5 linked regions of the Danio rerio genome follow. The protein of the gene in region 1 purifies or fractionates together with the protein of each later gene. This does not show direct contact. Links are inferred from orthologs where the notes say so. Each region holds a gene or a part of one and is shown on either strand. Other genes may lie near its edges. The genes, in order: dnajc7, mlf2, pld2, dnajb1b and vps13c.

What was found.
Region 2: the proteins of dnajc7 (region 1) and mlf2 purify together in Homo sapiens (affinity purification with mass spectrometry; 3 studies listed by BioGRID and IntAct, with this or other methods). This does not show direct contact. The link is inferred for Danio rerio from reciprocal best matches to the Homo sapiens genes DNAJC7 and MLF2.
Region 3: the proteins of dnajc7 (region 1) and pld2 purify together in Homo sapiens (affinity purification with mass spectrometry; 3 studies listed by BioGRID and IntAct, counting the BioPlex papers as one, with this or other methods). This does not show direct contact. The link is inferred for Danio rerio from reciprocal best matches to the Homo sapiens genes DNAJC7 and PLD2.
Region 4: the proteins of dnajc7 (region 1) and dnajb1b purify together in Homo sapiens (affinity purification with mass spectrometry; 3 studies listed by BioGRID and IntAct, with this or other methods). This does not show direct contact. The link is inferred for Danio rerio from reciprocal best matches to the Homo sapiens genes DNAJC7 and DNAJB1.
Region 5: the proteins of dnajc7 (region 1) and vps13c purify together in Homo sapiens (co-immunoprecipitation; 4 studies listed by BioGRID and IntAct, counting the BioPlex papers as one, with this or other methods). This does not show direct contact. The link is inferred for Danio rerio from reciprocal best matches to the Homo sapiens genes DNAJC7 and VPS13C.

What each region holds. Positions count from the first base shown.
Region 1 is NC_133178.1:16,684,392-16,688,439, forward strand, and holds part of dnajc7 (dnaJ homolog subfamily C member 7), read left to right. Parts: intron 1-442; coding exon 443-592; intron 593-2,821; coding exon 2,822-2,884; intron 2,885-4,048. UniProt on the Homo sapiens protein: Acts as a co-chaperone regulating the molecular chaperones HSP70 and HSP90 in folding of steroid receptors, such as the glucocorticoid receptor and the progesterone receptor.
Region 2 is NC_133191.1:35,023,082-35,026,998, forward strand, and holds part of mlf2 (myeloid leukemia factor 2), read left to right. Parts: intron 1-2,063; coding exon 2,064-2,223; intron 2,224-2,340; coding exon 2,341-2,555; 3' UTR 2,556-2,558; intron 2,559-3,917.
Region 3 is NC_133180.1:39,308,630-39,312,677, forward strand, and holds part of pld2 (phospholipase D2), read right to left. Parts: intron 873-4,048; coding exon 754-872; intron 648-753; coding exon 534-647; intron 446-533; coding exon 341-445; intron 1-340.
Region 4 is NC_133176.1:59,235,392-59,239,936, forward strand, and holds the start of dnajb1b (dnaJ homolog subfamily B member 1b), read right to left. Parts: upstream 3,012-4,545; 5' UTR 2,635-3,011; coding exon 2,415-2,634; intron 1,633-2,414; coding exon 1,064-1,632; intron 1-1,063. UniProt on the Homo sapiens protein: Interacts with HSP70 and can stimulate its ATPase activity. Stimulates the association between HSC70 and HIP. Negatively regulates heat shock-induced HSF1 transcriptional activity during the attenuation and recovery phase period of the heat shock response.
Region 5 is NC_133182.1:29,744,962-29,749,783, reverse strand, and holds the start of vps13c (intermembrane lipid transfer protein VPS13C), read left to right. Parts: upstream 1-1,577; 5' UTR 1,578-1,711; coding exon 1,712-1,811; intron 1,812-4,822. UniProt on the Homo sapiens protein: Mediates the transfer of lipids between membranes at organelle contact sites. Necessary for proper mitochondrial function and maintenance of mitochondrial transmembrane potential.

The sequences.
Region 1 (4,048 bases):
GGCACACAGCACTCTACCATGCATAACGTTTGTCATCATCTTGTGACAAACAGCCACATGCTATTAGGGGAAAAAAAAAAAAAAAAAGAGTCTGCTGAATGTCCTCCATTGTTGTTTATAGGCCTGTTCACATGTTGTGTGTAAACTTCAGGAAATTAAATAAAATGTAAATGCTTCCTCTCTATTCTATTACAAACATGCAGGGTTTTAAAAATTTTTTTAAACTTGTAAAAGTCATTCTTGAGCTGCAGCTGATCGCAGAGAGTTGGAACAGATCTTTTAATCCAAGTTTTTTGCAAATCCTGTTCACTTCCTGCTCATTTCCATTAAAAGTTGAGATATGTATACGACTTTTATGGTTTTCTCTTGGCTAGAATGGATTTGATTTGAACTTAGTAGGCATGGTATACGCTACAAAGTAAGGGTCATGTGTTCTTCACAGACCGACACAGCGGTGCGAGCGCTGAGGTGCAGAAAGAGGAAGAGAAGAAGTTTAAAGAGGTCGGCGAGGCCTTCACTGTGCTCTCCGACCCCAAAAAGAAGACACGATATGACAGCGGCCACGACCTGGAGGACGATGACATGAACATGGGTTTGTCCCTTTCACACTTCCATTCTCACACACTTTCTCTTTCTGTCAGCACTATTTCAATATGGAAGATGATTTTCACAAAAATTAAACTTCATCCATCATTTACTCACCCTCGAGTTGTTCCTATTTTTTTTTTTTTGTTCTGCTAAAAAACAAACTATATACAAGATATTTGGAAGAAAGTCAGTAACAACAGATCTTCTCGCCATTTACTCCCATACTGTTTATTTTCTATCTATCGCAGTAAACGTGTTGCTAGCTCTGTTTGGTTACTGACATTTTTCAAAATATCATTTGTCCAAAATCAAACAAAAAGTGCTCAGGGGTAGCTTAAATTATGTGTCTGTGCTACAACAAAAATCAGTCCAAGGCACTAGAAAAATGTGGAAAATTTAAAAGCCATGTAAATAAAGGCTTTATCCCTAAACCTACATGTTACGGCAAGGAACTGCTTTCATCGGGGCATGATCAGGGGCATCTAGAGCCTCTTTTGAGTGCTATGGTCACATGACTCATTTTAAATATCTCAACAACACTCAAATAATATAACAAGAGGTCAACTATCATCATTACTTCAGCATTGATAGAGGGGGAAATAAATATGCCTATATACATGCACAGATATACACATGCTTATAATTTCACTTTTACCTGTCATTTTAATCAAAGACTTTACTTTAAGTTTCACCTTTTCAACATTACGTCTTTTATTTATAACATCTATAGCAACACTAATATTAACTTTAAATATTATAAGTCTAATGTTTTTAAATAGACAACATATGACGCTCCGTTTACTTGACAAATTTAATGATTTGCATATTCATGTTGTTGACGCCAAATTCTGACCCTACCATACGAATGTCACAGCAGAAATCGAGACTCATCAGACCAGGCAACCTTTTTCCAATCTTCTATTGTCCAATTTTGGTGAGCCTGTGCGAATTGTAGCCTCAGTTTCCTGTTCTTAGCTGACAGGAGTGGCACTCGGTGTGGTCTTCTGTCCCTTCAGAGATGCTCTTCTGCATACCTCTGTTGTAACAAGTGGTTATTTGAGTGTCTGTTGTCTTTCTATCAGCTCGAACTAGTCTGGCCATTCTCCTCTGGCATCAACAAGGCATTTACGCCCACAGAACTGCCGCTTTTTGCACCTTTTTCTGTATACCCTAGAGATGGTTGTTCGTGAAAATCCCAGTAGATTAGCAGTTTCTGAAATACTCAGATCGGACACATTTCTTCACCATTCTGATGCTCTGTTTAAACTGCTGCAGATTGAGTTGCTGCATTGTGATTGGCTGATTAGAAATTTGCATTATCGAGCAATTGGACAGGTGGCCTAACAAAGTGGCCAGTAAGTGTACTCCAGTAGTAGACTATTTCAGACGATTAAAGACAGCAAAACAGAACAATCTTCTAGCGGTTTACCAAATAAAGTGACAGGTGAATGTATGCAGTCATTGTTTTGTTTTTGCTATTTTCCGTATAGACTTTATCAACTAGCTTGTCATCAGAAATGTTATTTGTTTTTGGGCCCTCATTACAGTCACCTGCAGAGACAAAATAATCAGTTCCTTGTCTATTAGCATTGGAATGATGTTTTTATTGAAAGCGAATGTCATTTATGTTCTTTTAAAAGCCTAGATCTTATTGAAAGCGTCATGCCATGGCTGTGCTGAATAATCCAAGTGTCAGCTCTTGAGTAAACAGAACTTTAAAAGACTAATGCTGAGTGCAGACAACAGAGGGAATTAAATTAAGCAGTTTCATTTCCAGCATTGACTCAATCAAGGCTGTTTTTTTGAATTCACTTAAAGTTGCTCTTCAGGGCATGACTTGACTGTTTTCTTGACTCCGTTGGTTTGTTTCTGTGTCTAAGCACCAGGCTTTGGGACAATTTACACAAAAGGTTTACTGTTTTTTTGCTGAAAAGGTTAAGTGTTTTGCTTTAGAATATGTATCGGACATTTAAATGATGGGGTAATATGGGTTAAATTATGAGGGGGAGGGGGGGGTCTCTGATAAATGAAATAATTAATTAATTAAATAAATTACAAAATTCAATAAAGTGTTTACATTGTTACTTTTTTATGGTGAAATGCTCAAGTATTGGAAACCAAATGTGTAAAACCAATTACTCTCAATCTATAGTGTCAAACACAGGAAATGTATTTTAAGCTTGTTAAATGATCACGATGAATTGTTTTATGTCTCTATTTTCTTCTCTTTCAGACTTTGATGCCAACAACATCTTCAAAGCATTCTTTGGCGGCCCTGGTGGGTTTAGTTTTGAAGGTAGTATTTCATGTACTTTGTCTTCATCGTCCATAATTCACTGGTTTAGACTGTAAACCACTGAACGCTAACAAGCAAAGGTTTGGGATCAGTATGCTTTCAAAATATTTCAGACATACAAAAAATAAGAATATTAGAAATCATTTACTCTTGTCTTCAGTATTGCAGTATACTTCAGAAATCAGTCTCATACACTGATTTTCTGTCTGATATCAGTGTTGTTTATTTTTGTGTGAAAATATTTTTTTAATGAATGAAAGATTACTTAAAGAAGAGTGTTTACTTTAAACTATTTTTGTCAGTATAAGTATCTTCACTGTTATTTAATACAACTAATTATTTTTATTGGAAAAACAATCTGAACCCAAACTTTTATTTGGACGGAAATATGTTTGAAGACTCTACAAAGGGTGTGTGATATTGATCATCCACGAAAGCACTGTTATGGGATGTTTGTGCTCATATTATCAAGTTTATTACTCACTTTAGCAAAAATAAAGTGTCTGTTGAGAGCACAAAAGCTTTACTGTACGAATTCAGTCAGAATGACCATAGCTTTCGAGTTTTGAACACAAAAATATCCCTGTGGATATGGAATTATCAGTTTATTTTTTTGTTGTTGTGTTTTTATTTTTTATTATTATTATTATTTTTTTTTTTTTTGGCATCTTGATTTGACATGACAGTAAGTTGGGAGGGGGACAGGATTGGGAAAAGGTTTTATTATTAAAGAATTAATTTAGACACAATATTGTTTATTTTGTTTCGCTAATTAAAATTTCCTGAAAAAATGTATCCACTTTGAATGAAGACTGAGCCTTTGGTTGATTTAATCATAAAGATAGTGCCTTTGCATTTTGAAAAAAGGTGAAATCACGTTTTCCTAAGTGCCAAATCAAATGCGTAATTACTTCATGATCTTTATCATTAAGTGACTAGCTCTGTGCAAATTCAGACACAGCCAGTCACTTGCATAAATGAACCAGTCTTTTGAATGAATCATGTGAATGACTCAATGAATCTGTTAATCCACACAGTGGCAAAAGTTGAACTATTTTGAAAATTGACCGTGCCATACGTGCATAAACTGCTGATGGTGGCCATAGCATAGACAAACGGCAAAGGATCACGAGTTCACAAAAACATTTATATCAGTAAAGGAAG
Region 2 (3,917 bases), on another chromosome or scaffold:
AGCGTAGTGGTGTTGTATCAACCTAAAAGGTTTTGTTTTGTGGTAACAACCAGCTGGGGAAAAAACAATATAATTTAAGTAATCAGTTTCAGACTAAACAAATGTTTAAACGATACAGCACAGTCATACAACTTCAAACCACGTGAATGACTTACTAGCAGCTTCTATTTAGATCTGCAAGTTGTATTAAATATGTTGTGACATCTAAATCGGCGTAGTTTCCAACTGGTGGATAATATGAGAGTTTGTGGTTGAAGATAAACATTATGAGTTTCGATAGTAGCTTAAAAAATGCACAAAAAAAATGTAAAAAAAAAATTTTGGTGTACAATTTCATTGCAGCTAATAGAATATGACCGCTTTCTAACAAACACTGAAGCGGTTCGACTAAAAAAAATAAATGCAACACTTGCCAAAAACTCAACAAAGCAAAAACAAAATGTTGCATTGCTACAAATCCAAGGTTTGATGACGCCAAAAGAATGGTGTATGCAAAACGGTGTAAAAAGCCACTTTTCCTCTGCATGTTACGACATGATTTGGTTTGGTACAGCTTACTTTTGGGGGCTTTTCCAATGTGTTTTGTACCTAGTACTTGATACTTTTAGTAGTACCTCCTTGATGTTCCAAGCAAGTTGTTCCATTATCAAAACGTGATGTGTACACACTGCAGATCATCAATTTGTTTTGAGAGGATCGCCACTATCAGCGTCTCTGGATTTACAAAATTAGTCATATAGCAGATGCTTTTGTTCAAAGTGACTTACAATTGATTTGGGAAATGAGACACACAACCTGCTATATATAAATAGTCAGCAGCAGCCACTGCTGTTTGGTTGGTTCGCAAGGCAAACCTGTTGGTTTGTGTCAAGCGTTTGTTTATGTTGTTTACTATGATGCCACATAGAGCTGGGCGACTTGGCCTAAACCATGATCTTCATAATTAAACATTTTAACTCAGTTACGATTAATGAACCATTATTTATTTCATTCATTTATTTATTTTTTGCCTTCATAGTTCACTGACGGTTTCGTACCATAAATATGCTTACAAATCACAAGTGAGAAATTTTTGAATGAAGAGTGCATTACTTGATTTTAAAATCATAATTGACGTAAACACACACTATCTTTGATTATTTATTGAACATCAAAGTTGAACAACTGAAATTAAAACACACATTGTCTTAAACCAAGTCACATTTTTCTTATAAAGAAGTGAAAATAAATAGTTATTATTTTAAAAAATAAAACATTTGTTTTCAAAGTTTTTCATATTGAAAATAGAAAATAAGCAGTATATCTTTTAAATAAAATAACTCTTGCATATCCTGCAAATAATATTTTAAACCGTGCATTTCTTGCATCTTCGGTAAACAAATACTTTAATGTAAATAATAATTTAAATGTATTGGAAAATATGTCTCAAGGCATCTTTGGTGCACCTTTCAATTATTGTCAACGTAGTCCAAAGTAAGGCTCAAGAATGAGTCCATCGTCCTACTTGACCAGAGATCTGATGTGGCTGCAAAGTTTGGCTTACAGAGTGGAGTCACATAATCCCACATGTTGTAGGAAAAGAAATTGAAATAATTGACCTATAAAATTTAGATTGATTATAGGTTCTGAATGATGATTTCGATTAATCGCCCAGCCCTAATGTCGCAGCAGTTAATGTGGCACAAGTATACCAATAATCCCATCTGAATAAAGTGAGCTACGTTGCTCAGAACCATATGTGGACGTGCAGTGCAAACGCAGCTTTGAGCAGAGGTCAAAACACGGAGCAATGGGGAAAAGTGCCTTATTAGCAAAGCAAAATATGCATTATACAAGCTGTCAAATTTGTTTAGGAACTAATTTTTTTTGTATAGTTCTAGGTTTGTGTTAAATTTCCCTGCATGAACGCTGACCAAGCTAGGATTAAATGGATTAATTTAAATTTTGGTTTAGTCCAGACAAACCAAGAGAATGCAGGAGATGTTTTTGCACTGAAGTATCTCACAGTTGAAGGAGCACAACTGCTGAATCGCCCCTAAATGTTTTTTGAATTGTTTGTTTAGATCAGAGAGACGCGTCAAACGATGCGGGACAGTCAGAGCGGGCTGGAGCGAATGTCTATTGGGCATCACATTGGTGAGAGAGGTCATGTGATGGAGCGTTCCAGGAACCGTCTCACAGGCGATCGTGAAGAGAGGCAGGACTTCTTCAACCTGGAGGAGAGTGAGTCAAATCCCTCCTTTCTCTCTACCATTCCCCCCCTGTAACTACTTAAATTTCATCTCAGACCTTTGTGTAGAAATTCTCCCATTCACTATTGTGGAAATGGTTCTCTTTCAGGTGAGGCAGCTGCCTTTGATGAAGAGTGGAGGAGAGAGGTGGGTCGGTACCGCCCCCCTACTGCCCGCAGTTTAGATTATGGGCGTGAGCGGGGCGCAGGGGTTGGACAGCAGCTGGCCCTCACAGCACCTCCGACCTCCTCCTCCTCTCCTTCACCCCGCCACGAGTCACCACGCCACCATCCTCCTCAATCCCGTCCACGCTACGACTGGTGAACGGTATGAGTCTCACACTGCCAGAACTCAACTCATGTGTGGAGTAGAGCTGCATAATTCTCCATAAATTGAGAATTACAGCCAAGTTTTGGTTTAAAATACAATTGATTTTAACATGATTATGAATAGACATCAAAACTTATTTAAGATTATCAAAATAAATATACAATGTGCTTTTACAGACAATTTTTTTACAAAAAATGTGAGCTGTAGAAATTTTAGTTATACTTTAAAAATAAGAAAATAAGTAAATAAGCCAATAGATAGATGGAGGTAAAGAAAACAAGAAGAAAAAGCGAAACATCATACCATCCAATGTACATCTAGTCATACCTTCTCAAAGTACTAATATTGGTGACCCATTAGTCACAAAGTCTCTGAAAAGGTGAACAAAACAAAATATGATATTTTCCACATCATGTAGTAGAAGTTTTTAAAAAAATCTGATTGCTGCAGATTCAGTTGTCATATTTAAAAGAATGTCTTGAACAATTAATTTAATGACATACATTTCTTTTTTAGTCAATAGCTTTGTTTCCATCTAACCTATTTTCTCATATTTTGGAATATTGAATTTGGAAACTTATGCATGCAACTGAGTAGTAGGATACATTTTTTATCCTATTAAAAAGTGCATGAACTAGATGGAATTGTATTTTCTGAATAAATCCTAGCATGCACATCAAAAGTGATGTGTTTTTTGTTATAACAGATCATGTGATGATGATGAGCACAATGGGTCTGCATTAATGGAAAAAATAGGCGACCGACCACATTGCACAACATCTGAAATGTTGTTTCGGTCATGCTAAAATCCCTTAGCCAAAGTTTGTCATTATATTGGTTCCATATTATTACCTCTAGAACTGTCTTGAGCATCTGTGGTCACAAAGAGCATTTTCGCACACCCCAAAACCACTGTGCATTCATTGGGTTTCGTTTCTGAGTTATAAGTATATTATTGTATTCGAAAAAGAAAAAAAAAAAAAAAACACAGTGGCTTCTCCTATGGCAAAATATTTTTTTTTCTTTTAGATATATGGCTCCAGTATATCAGCATGATTTTGTTCTTTTTGACTTGTTGGATGGAAAGGGTGCTTTATTCGCAAACATTTTATGAAAAAGTAATTCACCTTTTTGGGTAGAAACATAGCTATTGACTGTTACACAAGTAGATGGTGACAAATGTAATTGGTACACTCTGCATTTGAAGCAATAAGTACATTGGTCTTTATCCTGAAAAGGACATTTGCTATTTTAATTACTATTTCACTTCTGTGGACTGTAGTGTTTATATCCAAAATACATCTCTCGGGATTTGTATTTTGCATTTTGTGTGGTCTGAGCACAGATCTAAATATT
Region 3 (4,048 bases), on another chromosome or scaffold:
TTAAATCCTCAAATGTGAAGATTTAGCATTCGGTGTGTTATCCTTATTTCTGCATGGACATAAACATTTCCTCCTGAAGCACGTGTTATGTTCTCTCAGGCTTAGCTGACTTGCATTAGGACCCTGTGTCTGAGCATGAGGCCAAAGCAGAGAGCTATTGTGTGCTGCCAGCTGAATGCAGTGCAATCACATGATCCTAGTGGGAGAAAACACTGCAAACAACTCCACAACACTGAGACTCTGTGTGTGAACAAAGCGCAGTGTCTGTTCAGCTGTGTGTGCGCTGAGTCTTATGAGTCAGAAGCAAATGCTTTCTGTAAGGTCACAGGGCGGCTGTTACCTCTAGATAAATGTAATGCTGGCTGTTCTCAATAACATGCACATAAGCATTGAGGATTGAGTGTTCACATGTGCCAGCAGACCAGCGATCAACTGAACGAAGAACCTGGAATAAAAGAAAAAACAAATAGATGACGGACAAGATTAATGACATTTCGGGGAAAGGGAATGAAAGAATGGGGACACGTGTGTACCTGTACAGAGGCTTTTGTTGCACCGGGGATGCTGAATGGCAGTGTGTCTGATGTGCAGTGAGATTTTGGCAGGAGATATGGGTAGAAATCATCCTTATACTTGTTCTTAAAAATCTTTTAATTGACACAGAAAATAGGCAATGTGTAAAAAAACTGGTAAAAGTTTGTAGTGTGAAAAAGAAAAAAAATTTAAAAGTTATTATTTTTTAAAATTTCCAACCTTAGTGAAGTTCCAGCGCTGGATGAAATGTCGTGCCAGATCTCTGGCTGCTTTTCCATGATGCGCTGCACCCAGGTCTCGCCAGGGGATGCGTGGCACCTGAGTTCTGTCAACATTGTCTAAGAAACAAAAGCAAAAGCTACATTACTGTTAAAGCCACATTGGACATTTCCCAACATTTGTTCTTGTTAAAACCAAACTATTTATTCCTGCAACTAAGTAATAATAACTAATAGCTCTTCTTTTTAACATCTAACTTTTTATATACCAAAGAATCCTGAAAAAATAAACAATAATCAGCCTATGATAATAAGTTTAAAATGTAATATTATATATATATATATATATATATATATAATGTAATTATAATATAATATAATACAATCTAAAATAATATAATACAATACAAATATTTAAACAACAACATTTCTGTTAGTATATTATTAGTCAAATGACTTGGGCAAAGCTAAAACTTAATTGACATATGTTTCTATAAACATTGCAAGTAGGGATGCTCATAATAACCAATTCACTGTTAACCGAAAGGGTGCATTTTTAACCGTTTAATGGCATCAGTTAAACGATTAAAAATGTATTTATCTCTACAGTTGAAGTCAAAATTATTAGCCCTCCTGAATTATTATTGTTTGTTGTTTTTTTTCCCAATTTCTGTTTAACGGAGAGCAGATTTTTTTTAACACTTTTCTAAACATAATAGTTTTAAGAACTCATTTCTAATAACTAGGCCCACACGGAATCTGTGGGTGCAGAATTTGGCAGATTTTCTGCAGATTTTTAGCCCATCATTAAATCTGTTTATTTACTTGAGTAAATGTGTGTAAATCTATATTTATTCAGTTTTTTAATTATTTTCAGTAATATTATTGACTAATATGAAAATGTTCATTCGATCTATGTACAATACAGTTTGTAAAGTAATATTTTCTGTCTTTTAGTAGATATATTATATGAAAGACTTTCTTTGTTTACAAAAAAATACAAGTTAAGAAGATAATATTTTTTTATTTCACATATTAAGGTTTTAGTCATGATACTCCCAAAATAATTCTGCAGAAATCCACAGATTTTTACCAAAATTGCAACAGAAATAACAAAAAATGTCCGCAGATTCAGTCTGGCCCTACTAATAACTAATTTATCATTGCTATGATGACAGCACATATTATTTGACTAGATGTTTTTCAAGCTACTTCTATACAGCTTAAAGTGACATTTAAAGGCTTAACTAGGTTAATTAAGTTTTATCGATTAACTAGGTTAATTAAGTTAAGGCAAGTTATTGTATAATGATGTTTTTTTTCTTTAGACTATTGAAAAATAATATATAGCTTAAAGGGGCTAATAAATTTAACCTTAAAATAGTAAAAAAAAAAAAAAACTTTTATGCTCTTATGCTAGCCAAAATCAAATAAATAAGACTTTCTGCAGAAACAAATATATTTTTAGGTATACTGTGAAAATTTCCTTGCTCTGTTAAACATAATTTGGGAAATATTAACAAAAAAAATCAGGGGGTGGGTGGGTTTAATAATTTTGAATTTAACTGTATATTTTTTGATTAGTTGCATAATTGTGCAACACGTATTTGTTAACTCACGGGATGCTAACAGGTGCAAACACAACAGATATATTTAGCAAGATGAAAGAAGGATATTGCTGGTCACAGTTTGACACAGACGAGTTGATGCCAAACCAGCACTGATGCTGATTGCCTCGGTCCTGGATCTGCCTCATAAACACTTCTGTTCATTTGCACAATTGGAGAAAGAAGCACAAAACAAAACTTTCTAAAATGTGCGCTGCTTTGGAAACAAGCCGGTCATAAGTTGGAGTGTTGGAATTTTCTCTCATCAGAGTGCGCTCCGGCACCTCTTAGGAACACAACAAATAGGCTACAGTTGTGATGATTTAGTGTCCAACCAACAAACCAACCTTTTTTCCATTTGGAAAATTACAGTTATTAATAGTTCTTATAAAATATCAATTGTTAAAACAGCCTTCATAGCATGCAATAACTTCATGCATATTGATAACTCCACACCAAATTAAAACAAAATTGTTATATGCTATAGTAGCCTATACTTTACAAAAAGCCAACATATGAGCTTTGTCATTGTCTATTATCACATGCAGCGCGCACATGAACCACGAGTGAGAGAGAAAATAAAAGCACACAAGCTCTAAGATGAAACCAGATGCTCAAGACATAATCTTTAAAATAATGACTTCTATTAAAAATGTTGACAGAGGTTTGTGATTTATTAACAGTGGAGCATTAATTAAATGCATATTTTCTGTAGAGCGATAGATTTGAGGTAGCCTGCAAATTTATTTATTTGTATTTTTTTTAAACATCATGGGAAAAACCATCATGCTGTTTCTTAAAAATGATTCAGTCAGTGTTTTAATTTTTTTTTATCTAAGTTTGTAATTTAAGTGAAATATATCTAGGTCAGGACTAATTACTTTACTCTTTGTATTTAGTTTATTCCTAATTTCTGTGCTGTTGGAAACACTGCAGGTGCTTGAAGGTGTTCTGTTGTTAATATGTTTGCATGTTAAAATAAATCAGTATTTTAAAATAATATTTATTGTGTCACACAAAATAGACACGTCAAAATTAAAAAAAAAAAATTTAATTAAATATTTATCTGAACAGTTAACGGTTAATATTTGGTTAACGAGCGGCAGTTGTTGGTTAGCAAAATTAGCCGAAATGAGCTTCCTTAAATGCTAGAGCCTGGCTAGAGCCATCCTTAAAGGTTCGAGCCTCAGCTGGGTTAGTTGGCATTTCTGTGTGGAGTTTGCATGTTCTCCTTGCGTTCGCGTTTGTTTCCTCCGGGTGCTTCGGTTTCTCCCACAGTCCAAAGACATGCGGTGCAGGTGAATTGGGTAGGCCAATTTGTGCGTAGTTTATGAGTGCGAATGAGTGTGTATGGATGTTTCCCAGAGATGGGTTGCAGCTGGAAGGGCATCCGCTGAGTAAAAACATATGCTGGATAAGTTGGCGGTTCATTCCGTTGAATGAATGAATCTCCAGGGTTTCTGCCAGTTTCACCAAGTCAAATTTAAGACTTTTAAAGACATTTTTAAGACATTAGGAATGACATTTTAGACTTTTTGAAACATTATAGATACAGGGCTAAATGCTAAGGATTTTTTTCTGAATATCTCAGTTGAAAAGATTTTCACATGCCTTGTCTAAAAATGATTATAATTTTAATAGATTTAATAATACAATAGTACTTTAATAATAAAAAAAACATCATGTCAG
Region 4 (4,545 bases), on another chromosome or scaffold:
AGACATTTAAAAAGGAATATATTCTAGAGCAGTAATCACAACACCGTAAAACCGTGATATTTTGATCCAAGGTATCATACCGTCAGAATCTTATATCAGCCCATGCCTAGACGATGTATCTGCAGCCATATCGTTATCTGCTGAAAAATGCTATTAATAATGTTATCGTTATCATTCCAATTTCAAAATTAGGCTGATATCTTTAAGCCAATTAATTTTGTACTTGTACAGAACTGCCTGCTTTTAAGTGTGGAGCGCGGTTATAAAAGTATTAAATGACTTACAATTGTACAAATATGTAATACTTTTCATTTGACATTTGAGCTGGTTTAAGTACTTAGTACTTTTTCGTTTTCATTTTATTTAAAATGTTTAACTTGTTTGTTAATTAAATCTAGTTGTCATTTAACCTATTATTTTTATGCAACAGTCAAGTTGCATGTAAATTTGCTATGTGGAAAAAAGGAAATGATTTATGTGAAAGTGTGAATAGGTTTATATAATCACCTTGCAATTTTGAAATTATTACTTTTTTTGCTTTAAGAAGGCTATTTTTAGATCAGTTCAAACTTTTATGAAGTTTTTTTTTTAAATAAAATCAGTGGTTCACTGTGCAAAAATATAACATTTTAAAATATTTATATTCATCAGCTAATACATCAGTTATCGGCCTTCAAATCTAAGATTTATTGGCTATCGATATCAGCCCAAAAACCATTTTCGGTGCATCCCTAGTATTTACATGCTAATGTGCATTTCGGAAACCAAGGAAAGTGAACGTCTTAGTTTTCTTGTACAAAAATGTGTAACTTTCAGTATGAACAAGCAACCAAGCCATGTTCAGATACAAGAGTCAAAACAGGCAAGAATTTTCTCCTGTCTGTTTCAAGTGTTTTTGATTTTGCTGATTGATCTTTGATGTTCCTTAATGGTGTGTTTGCTTTCAGAAGTTACATTTTTTGAAATGGTATAAAACATGTTGGTTATTTCAAATATCTAGTGGCCTATAAAATTATTTAGCATGCTATTGAATATTTCTTCAATATCATAGAAATCATCTCACCTCTTTGAGAGTAATTTTTGCAGGATAAATGATGTCCGATCCATCTCGTTTGTACACCGGATGCGGTTTATCCTTCAACACAAACACCACATCTGCAGGGATATTTGACGGCGTCTCGTCGCCTTCCCTGGGGAAGGTTATCTTGGTTCCTTCCTTCCAGCCTTTTTTCACCTCCACTGTCAGAATCTTGTCCTCTGAGCGTGTTGTTCGTCCATCGGGGTTCAGGCGCTTGCGTGAGATCTTCATCTTCTTGGTGCAGCCAGTGAACACTTCATCTAGACTGACACGGAGGTCGTGGATCACTGCAGGGTCTTGTTTTCTCTCCATTCTTCCACCGTGACTATGTGTGGTAAAGGAGCGAGGGAAACCACCAATGCCACCCATACCAAAAGAAGCAAACGGGTCATCAGTTTCCATGTTCTCATCCATACCGCCATTATGTCCAAAAATATGTTCGAAAGGATTTCGCCCTCCGAAGAACTCTGAGAACATCGCATGAGGATCTCCTTGGAAAGTGTATGTGTAATTTCCACCACCACCACCTCCTCCAGGAGCACCTCCCTTCAGTCCTGCAAATGGCACACAAATAAATCAAATTGCAATCTTTAAACAAAAATACAACACTCAAATTTCAAGATTAATTTAATAGTTCATATAAATGTTGATTATTTAGCATAGAACCACTGATCATTTTGATTACTCAACTACACATACTGGTAAAAGGACTGGAGGTTTGTATTCATCTTAACTTGTATCTCCAAAAATATCTAAAGGTTCCTTTTGATAGATTTTCTATTAGTAAATATTTATATTTAAGTGCTAGTCGTTTTAAAATGTTCTGGAATGTGCAAACCCATTTAAGATTGTTTAAAGCTGAACAGGTACAGAACTATTGACGGAACTCAAACGCTCTGCCTCTTCGCACCACGTGACTATCAGAATCTTCCAGCAAGCGCTCGACGCTCTAGAATGTCCCGCACAAGCAGCCAATCAGAATGCAGCATTGCTGATCGGATCTCGTTTACTTATTTTTACAAAATAAAACTTCACTATCACAGATTCAGCAGATTGACTTATCTCTAATTCAAACGTTTGAGTAGTGTAGAGTGCGTCGAAAGCAGCCCAGGACCACGTAACATCATAGATTAAACTGATTCAGCCAGTCAGTAATCTAATCTATCTCTCTTGTCTCAAACGTGACTAGAAGAAAACAAACACGAACACAATAGTTTGTACTTTAAACAACATATCTTATTAGTAAAGGCTCATAATCCCTCTTAAAACTCTTCTTATTCATATTTGCGTCGTGGAACAGAGCCACAGTTACAAATGTTTGCATATTTTTACTCACCTTCTTCGCCAAATCTGTCGTAGATGTCTTTCTTTTTCGGGTCACTCAGCACGTCGTATGCTTCCGCGATCTCCTTGAACTTTTCCTCGGCTCCGGCTGACTTGTTTTTGTCCGGATGGTATTTCAGCGCTTGTTTGCGATACGCTTTTTTAATTTCATCGTCAGAAGCGCCTTTCTGAATCCCCAAAACGCTGTAATAATCTTTCCCCATCTTCACCATTAGGCTTCCGTGTTTCTTAAATGTATATTCTCCGAAAGAAAAACTGCGGTTCAGACTAGTGTTGCTAGCCTGTTTGTTTTCAAACCAACCTGAAACTAATCTTTGCAGAGGTGTCGTCTCGTCCCCTTGCGGTCTTTTATGCTCCTGCCGCTCTGTGGTTCCCCCTATTTAAAACCGTAAAGAAAGTTCTAGAAAATTCTCAAAGTCTCTGGTTGTTTCCACACCCCTGGACCTGGACCACGTGGCAGATCTGCTCCACCCGCACAGCTGCTGCAGCAAACGGGCAAAACCGAAACCAGAAGAAACTACAGCTGCGTTTCTCTATCAAACTATGATGTACTCAAACATAAACAGGCCTGTGTGACGCCATAACGGGCGCTTCTCGGCTGGATTTCGTATGTCGTCATTTATATTTGCATAATCCCCTTACATTCCTGACCGAGTGACCTACAAACTCTGTCCAGGGAAGATGCTATTTTAGACCAATGATGATTCTCATGTTTTAACTGTACTATTATTGTTATAATTATATCTTTATAATATTAAATCATCTACCTTTTAAAAAATCTTATGTTTCATTAAATGTTAAGTGGAAATTATTAGGAAGTATATTTTATTATTATTATATTGAATGGATTGTGTGTGTGTGTGTGTGTGTGTGTGTGTGTGTGTGTGTGTGTGTGTGTGCGCGCGTGTGTGCGTGTGTGTGTGTGTGTGTGTACAAACAGTGCTCAGCATACATTAGTACACCCCTTAACAAATCTTATCTTTTAAATTCATTTTTAAATTCATGTTTTTTAATATTTTAATACGTTTACAATATTATATTTGTGCATATACATTAGTTTAGTCAGTACTGAAGTCAAATCTGGACCAATCTAACAAAATAACTTTCGGTAACGGACCAAAAACTAGTTCACCCATATTAACATGTTATAGAAAAATATTAAATACAAATTTTAATGAGAAGAGAAGCAAAAAAAATAAATAAAAATTTGGTTGAAATTTTGTAGGTTGTAGTTTTTTTTTGTTTTTGTAATATTTTGCTTGAATTTAATAGTATTGTTTTTTAATTTCTAAATATGTTTGGTGGATAAAATAATTTTTAAATAAATATATCCGTTTCATAAATCTGTTTTGTTTATATGCACCAAATATTATTATTATTATTATTGCTTATATTCACTGAGTAAAGGATAAAAATATTAATGCTGAGTACTTGTTATATATATATATATATATATATATATATATATATATATATATATATATATATATATATATATATATATATATACACACAATAACAAATTTTAGTTTTCTAAACCTCTCTTATTGTTGTGGGAAAATGTACTTTTGGGCTTTACTGTCTACCCTAGTCAAGAGGAAAATTGGTTTTATTTTAATCATTTGCTTATGTTGTTAACAAAATTTTGATTCATAAATGTAAATGTACTAATAAGCAGTGGTGGAAAAAATACTGAAAAAATCTAACCCAGGTAAAAGTACCATTACTTGGCCAAAAATGTAGTGCAAGTAGAGTAAATGTATCTGTTGTAAATATTACTCAAACTATGAGTAAAAAGTAGACCTTAGAAAAATACTCAGGAGTAGTGAGTACTACACTGTAAAAACCTGATGCGTTTCCATGCAATTTGTGCGTGAGTGAAAACGTAACATTCTGTAGTGCATTTATTCATTGTTTAAGGGCCTTTGGGCAATCTAAACAGCCTCTGGGCCATTGCATATAAGGATTTTGTACATCTTTCTGAACACTTTCAATGCTTTAAAATGGTTTGCTGCCTTTCAAGAGCCCATGTCAAGAGGTTGTTTAAAAGAATGTGATTTAGTTTCTATGTGCAATTTGATTGGACAGAAATCGCAGAACTGATTTTTTTTCTCACCCAATCC
Region 5 (4,822 bases), on another chromosome or scaffold:
AGTATTATTTTTTATTTCATATATTAAGGTTTTAGTTATAATACTCCTAAAATCATACAGCATAAATCTGCAGATTTTCTACAAAATTCAGTGCAGAAATAGCTATACTCCACAGCTCTGTGATTGGCCAAAGTGCTTAGTTTGACTTTTCTGTGATCGTCTACTCTTCCCTGTTGTTCACCACCTACTTTCTGCTAAATATATTTTTTTATTATTAATTTGTTTTCTTTTAGGCTTAGTCTCTTTAACTATTGTCAATAATTCAAATGAACACAATTCAAATTCAGATTGTTTTGGCATATTATTAGCTCTATAGTATGGTAGGAAAGAAGAGCTTGTGTATTTCAATATCTAATAATTAAAGGTTTGAGGTTTAAGACAAAATGTTTGGACTTAAAACCTTCAGCACAAACACAAAAAAGCCTCTATGTGCTCAAACATCATAAGATCAACTTGTAAACAGATTTCAAGCAGACCACGTGCACCAGAAAGAGCTTGGAAACTTGTCCCTAAAAGAAAACCACAGCCAGAAGACAAATAGGAGAGTGTGACAGAAAATAAACGCTATCACAGTCACAGTCAGGTCCTTAAATCTAAATTTATGCAATCAATTTTGTATAATCAAGGCATTTTTTATTAAATTATTTAAAGCCATATAAAGTTGGTAGTGATTATTATGATTTATTATATAATGCATGTGAGAAATAAGATATGTATTCATTTTGGAGCATTTATTTAATGGATAGTTCACCCAGCATTGAAAATTAAGTCATAATTTTCTCATCCTGTACTTGTTTGAGTTCCTTTTTTCTGTTGAACACAAAAGAAGTTAGTAGGAATAACATAAACGGTGGAAATCAACGGTTTCAAGTTTATAACAATTTTCTAAATATTTTCTTTTGTGTTCAGCTGAAAAAGGAAACCCATAAAGGTTTGGAACCATGTGAGGGTGAGTAAATGATAAATACATTTTCATTTGGGGGTAAAATATCCTTTTAATATTTTCAAAAATGAATGAATTATGGGCAACGTGGTGGCGCAGTAGGTAGTGCTGTCGCCTCACAGCAAGAAGGTCGCTAGTTTGAGCCTCGACTGGGTCAGTTGGCATTTCTGTGTGGAATTTGCATGTTCTCCTTATTATAATGTTCGCGTGGGTTTCTTGTATTTTTAATACAACAACAACAGAAAGAGAAACTTAAATAACTTTTAATAATTTCCACCACAAATGACATACAAATAACAAACCATAATGCTAAATATTAAAACCATATTTTAATGTTTTCTTTTATAATTTGGGACATATATAACGTATATCATCAAACGTGTATCTTCAGTACATACATTTACATCTTGGTAAACTATAACTTAAATGTATTATCCTTAAGGGAAAACAACTAAAGCAAACAGTAATGATATATCTTGCACATAAATCAATTAATCAAATATTCTAAAGAGTTTCTCATTTGGTAAACAAATGACTATGAGTTACCTCACCACACTTTCGCTTTGTGATCCACGTTCTTGTATCAACTACTCAGCCTGTTAATGATAAGTGTTCGGAGACCCCTGGCGCAGACAGTGTGAGTGGATCGCCGGATGAACCGATCTCGTGAACGCCTGTCACACTGCGAGGGAAGTAACCTTAGCAAATGCGGATTGTGTCATTTTAGCGTGTTTTCTGCGACAGGGTCGCTGTCGTTCTCGACTCATCATGGTCTTCGAGTCTTTAGTCAGTGATCTTTTAAACAGGTTTATTGGAGATTATGTGGAAAACCTGGACAAGTCGCAGCTCAAGATTGGCATATGGGGAGGTAAGCGTATATTCGTCAAACTGCCTGTAAACATCAGTGCAAACAAACGCGTTTCCCTCTCTGCGAATTATTGTTTATTACAAAATGTCATGTGTCGATGTTCAGTGCACGTTAATACGGACATTTTTTACAGTGTCCACAAATGACTATCGGTCATAATTGTTTCTGTTCTGTAAGATTGGCAGGCTGTTAAGTTGCTTGCTTTCTGAGGCGAGGAATATAACTGTTAACGTTATTTACATTGTTTGCTTTTAATATTTGTAGTGTTTCCCGCCCTAACTGTGTAAAAAAAAGAGCTGTCATGGTCATTACTCAAGTTCCTGCTTGCATTAGATAAATGAAACGATTGTCTTCTTGATAAGACAAACAGAAAATGGTTCAAGACGATTAGCTGAGCTGCTGAATGCAAGCAGTCTGTATTGTAGGCTTGTTTTGTTTGTTTTGTTGTGATGAATGTGTGCAAGTAAAGCTCAAGGTGAAGTGGACCACACCTTGAGGAACAACAAAATAAATGCCATACAATTCTCTATGAATTTCTGTGCTGCACACTTACCCACTTAATCTGGGAATTAAGTTCTGGAGCCATTAGAAACAGCTGCTAAATATCACTGAAACGCTTCTAAATAACTGCTTGAAAAAGCCTGATGCAGGATATTATTGCAGATTTATCCCATTGCTCCTCTGACCCACACTATTAATGTTCTTATTTTAGAGATACACAGTGTCAAACATTTTACATTAGAATTATTTGTTATATATTATTTTGGGGAATAAAAGGAATTTTATGCACTTCTTAACTTATGCAACTGTAATATTTGTAATAAATGAATCAAATTCATTCTTTCATTCATTTTCCTTCAACTTAGTCCCTTTATTAATCAAAGGTCGCCACAGCGAAATGAACCGCCAACTTATCCAGCATATTTTTTACACAGCAGATGCCCTTCCAGCTGTAACCCAGTACTGAGAAACATTCATACAGTACACGCTCAAACATACACATGGACTATGGCCAATATAGTTTATTCAGTTCACCTATAGCGCATGTCTTTGGACTGTGGGGGAAACCGGAGCACTCGGAGGAAACTTACGTCAACACAGGGAGAACATGCAAACTCCACACAGAAATGCCAACTTTTCCACCTGGGAATGTGTCTTTGTGAGGTGACTGTTAAGTCACAGTGTCGCCCATGAATCAAATGAGTTAGCTATAATAAATAAACAAACAATATTGGTAATAACTGTTTATTATTGCTCTATGCGAAATACATATATTACTATATGAATTTAATTTCAGCAGATGATTTAATAGCTCTAATTGGAAAGATTTCTTTAATATAGATCGACTGGAATGATCAAGTCTTTTTCTGTGCAGTGCATCAGCATAAAATTTCACACATAACAAGCATTTATAAATACATCAGAGCAAAAATAAAAGCAAAATAAACAGTGCTTTATGGTTTTATGGTGTCAAACTGTATACAGGATACACAAATTGAGCAATTAAATGTAAAATAATACGGTCATCATTTTATAAATGATTAAAATAGTTTTTTTTTTGTTTTAAATATCTTTGTCTTTTCATCTGAATCTAATCCTGCGACTATTGCAGATACACAAACTCCGATATGGATTCTTAAACGATATATTGTTCAGCCCTACTCTGGGATATGACCCTCTGAATGTCCCATGAATTCTATACTTATGGTTAATGTTTATTTTTTGTGCACCATTTACTGTCAGCGTTTGTTTGTTTATATGCAAATATGGCTGTTTGCTCTGTTTATCTTCTAGTTAGTATACTTTAATTGGAGTCACATATCAAACTTTCTGATGTGTCATTGTAGTCACTTAGCTGGATGTTTCATGGCTGAAACAACTCCACCTAGATTCTTTAATTTACTGTAAAATTAAAAGGAGTGTTCGAAGCCATGCTCATTTAAATAACCAAAATCCTTTGGATTAAAAATAGGTTCACCTTTTCTCTTTGGTAAATGCATGTTGTATTTCAAATTATGATTGATACAGCTCTGTGCTTCCAATTTATCCTGACATCGTAATAAACAAAAAATCAAATTAGATCCTCCAATGAAAATGAAGGACTTCTTGATGGTGTATTATGCAGGATTTCTTCATTCATTGTGTCTGCTAAAACTTCACCCCTGCAACATAATTTTCTTTTATAATGCTCATGTCTCAATATCAAATCTAGGGATGCTCCGATACCATTTTTTTAAATCAGTCTGATCCTGATACCAAAATTCTGAATATTGACCGATACAGATCCAATCCCGATACTGTGGCTCTTTTTTTACGTAATGCTGTTTCTATAGTTCTGCTAATAAACTCTAATAATATATCTTCATTTGTACAAAATAAACAAGAAGAACGAATTTGAGGTGAAATTCAAAACAAGGGCCGCTTATATGCTTCAGCACCAAAACCCAAACAGGTCTGTTAAATAAAAAACTAATTTAAATAAAATTAAAGTGAAATATTCACTGTTTCAGAAAAGTCTATATTAGGCTAAATAATGTATTGTTAATGACAATCCATATTGAGCCTGTTAGTTTCATTTTTATTAACTGAATAAACTTGACCACAATGAGCTTTACGAACTATATACAGCACTGAAAGGTTTCCCCTCGGAAAAAATAAACTCAGTCGGAAGGATGAGAGAACAGAAACTCATTGTGACACTTCCAAAACAGCAGCATAAAGGGAGCAAATCAGTGCGTTGAGGATCTGTCCAATGTATTTGGTTATTGAGCCTTTTCTAATTTAAAATTTCAGTTAGGCCTACTTTGTATGAGGAGCAGGTAATAACCCTCTATACTCCAGATGGCCAATACCCAATCCAGCAAAAATATGTGATATCGAACCAATATCTGATCCAAGTATAGGGATCGGTGCATCTCTAATCAAATCTATAACCAATGGATTAGAAACAAGAAGACCTGCCCTAGATTTGTATCTTTATCAATGACCTATTACCATTAAATGTAGGTCAC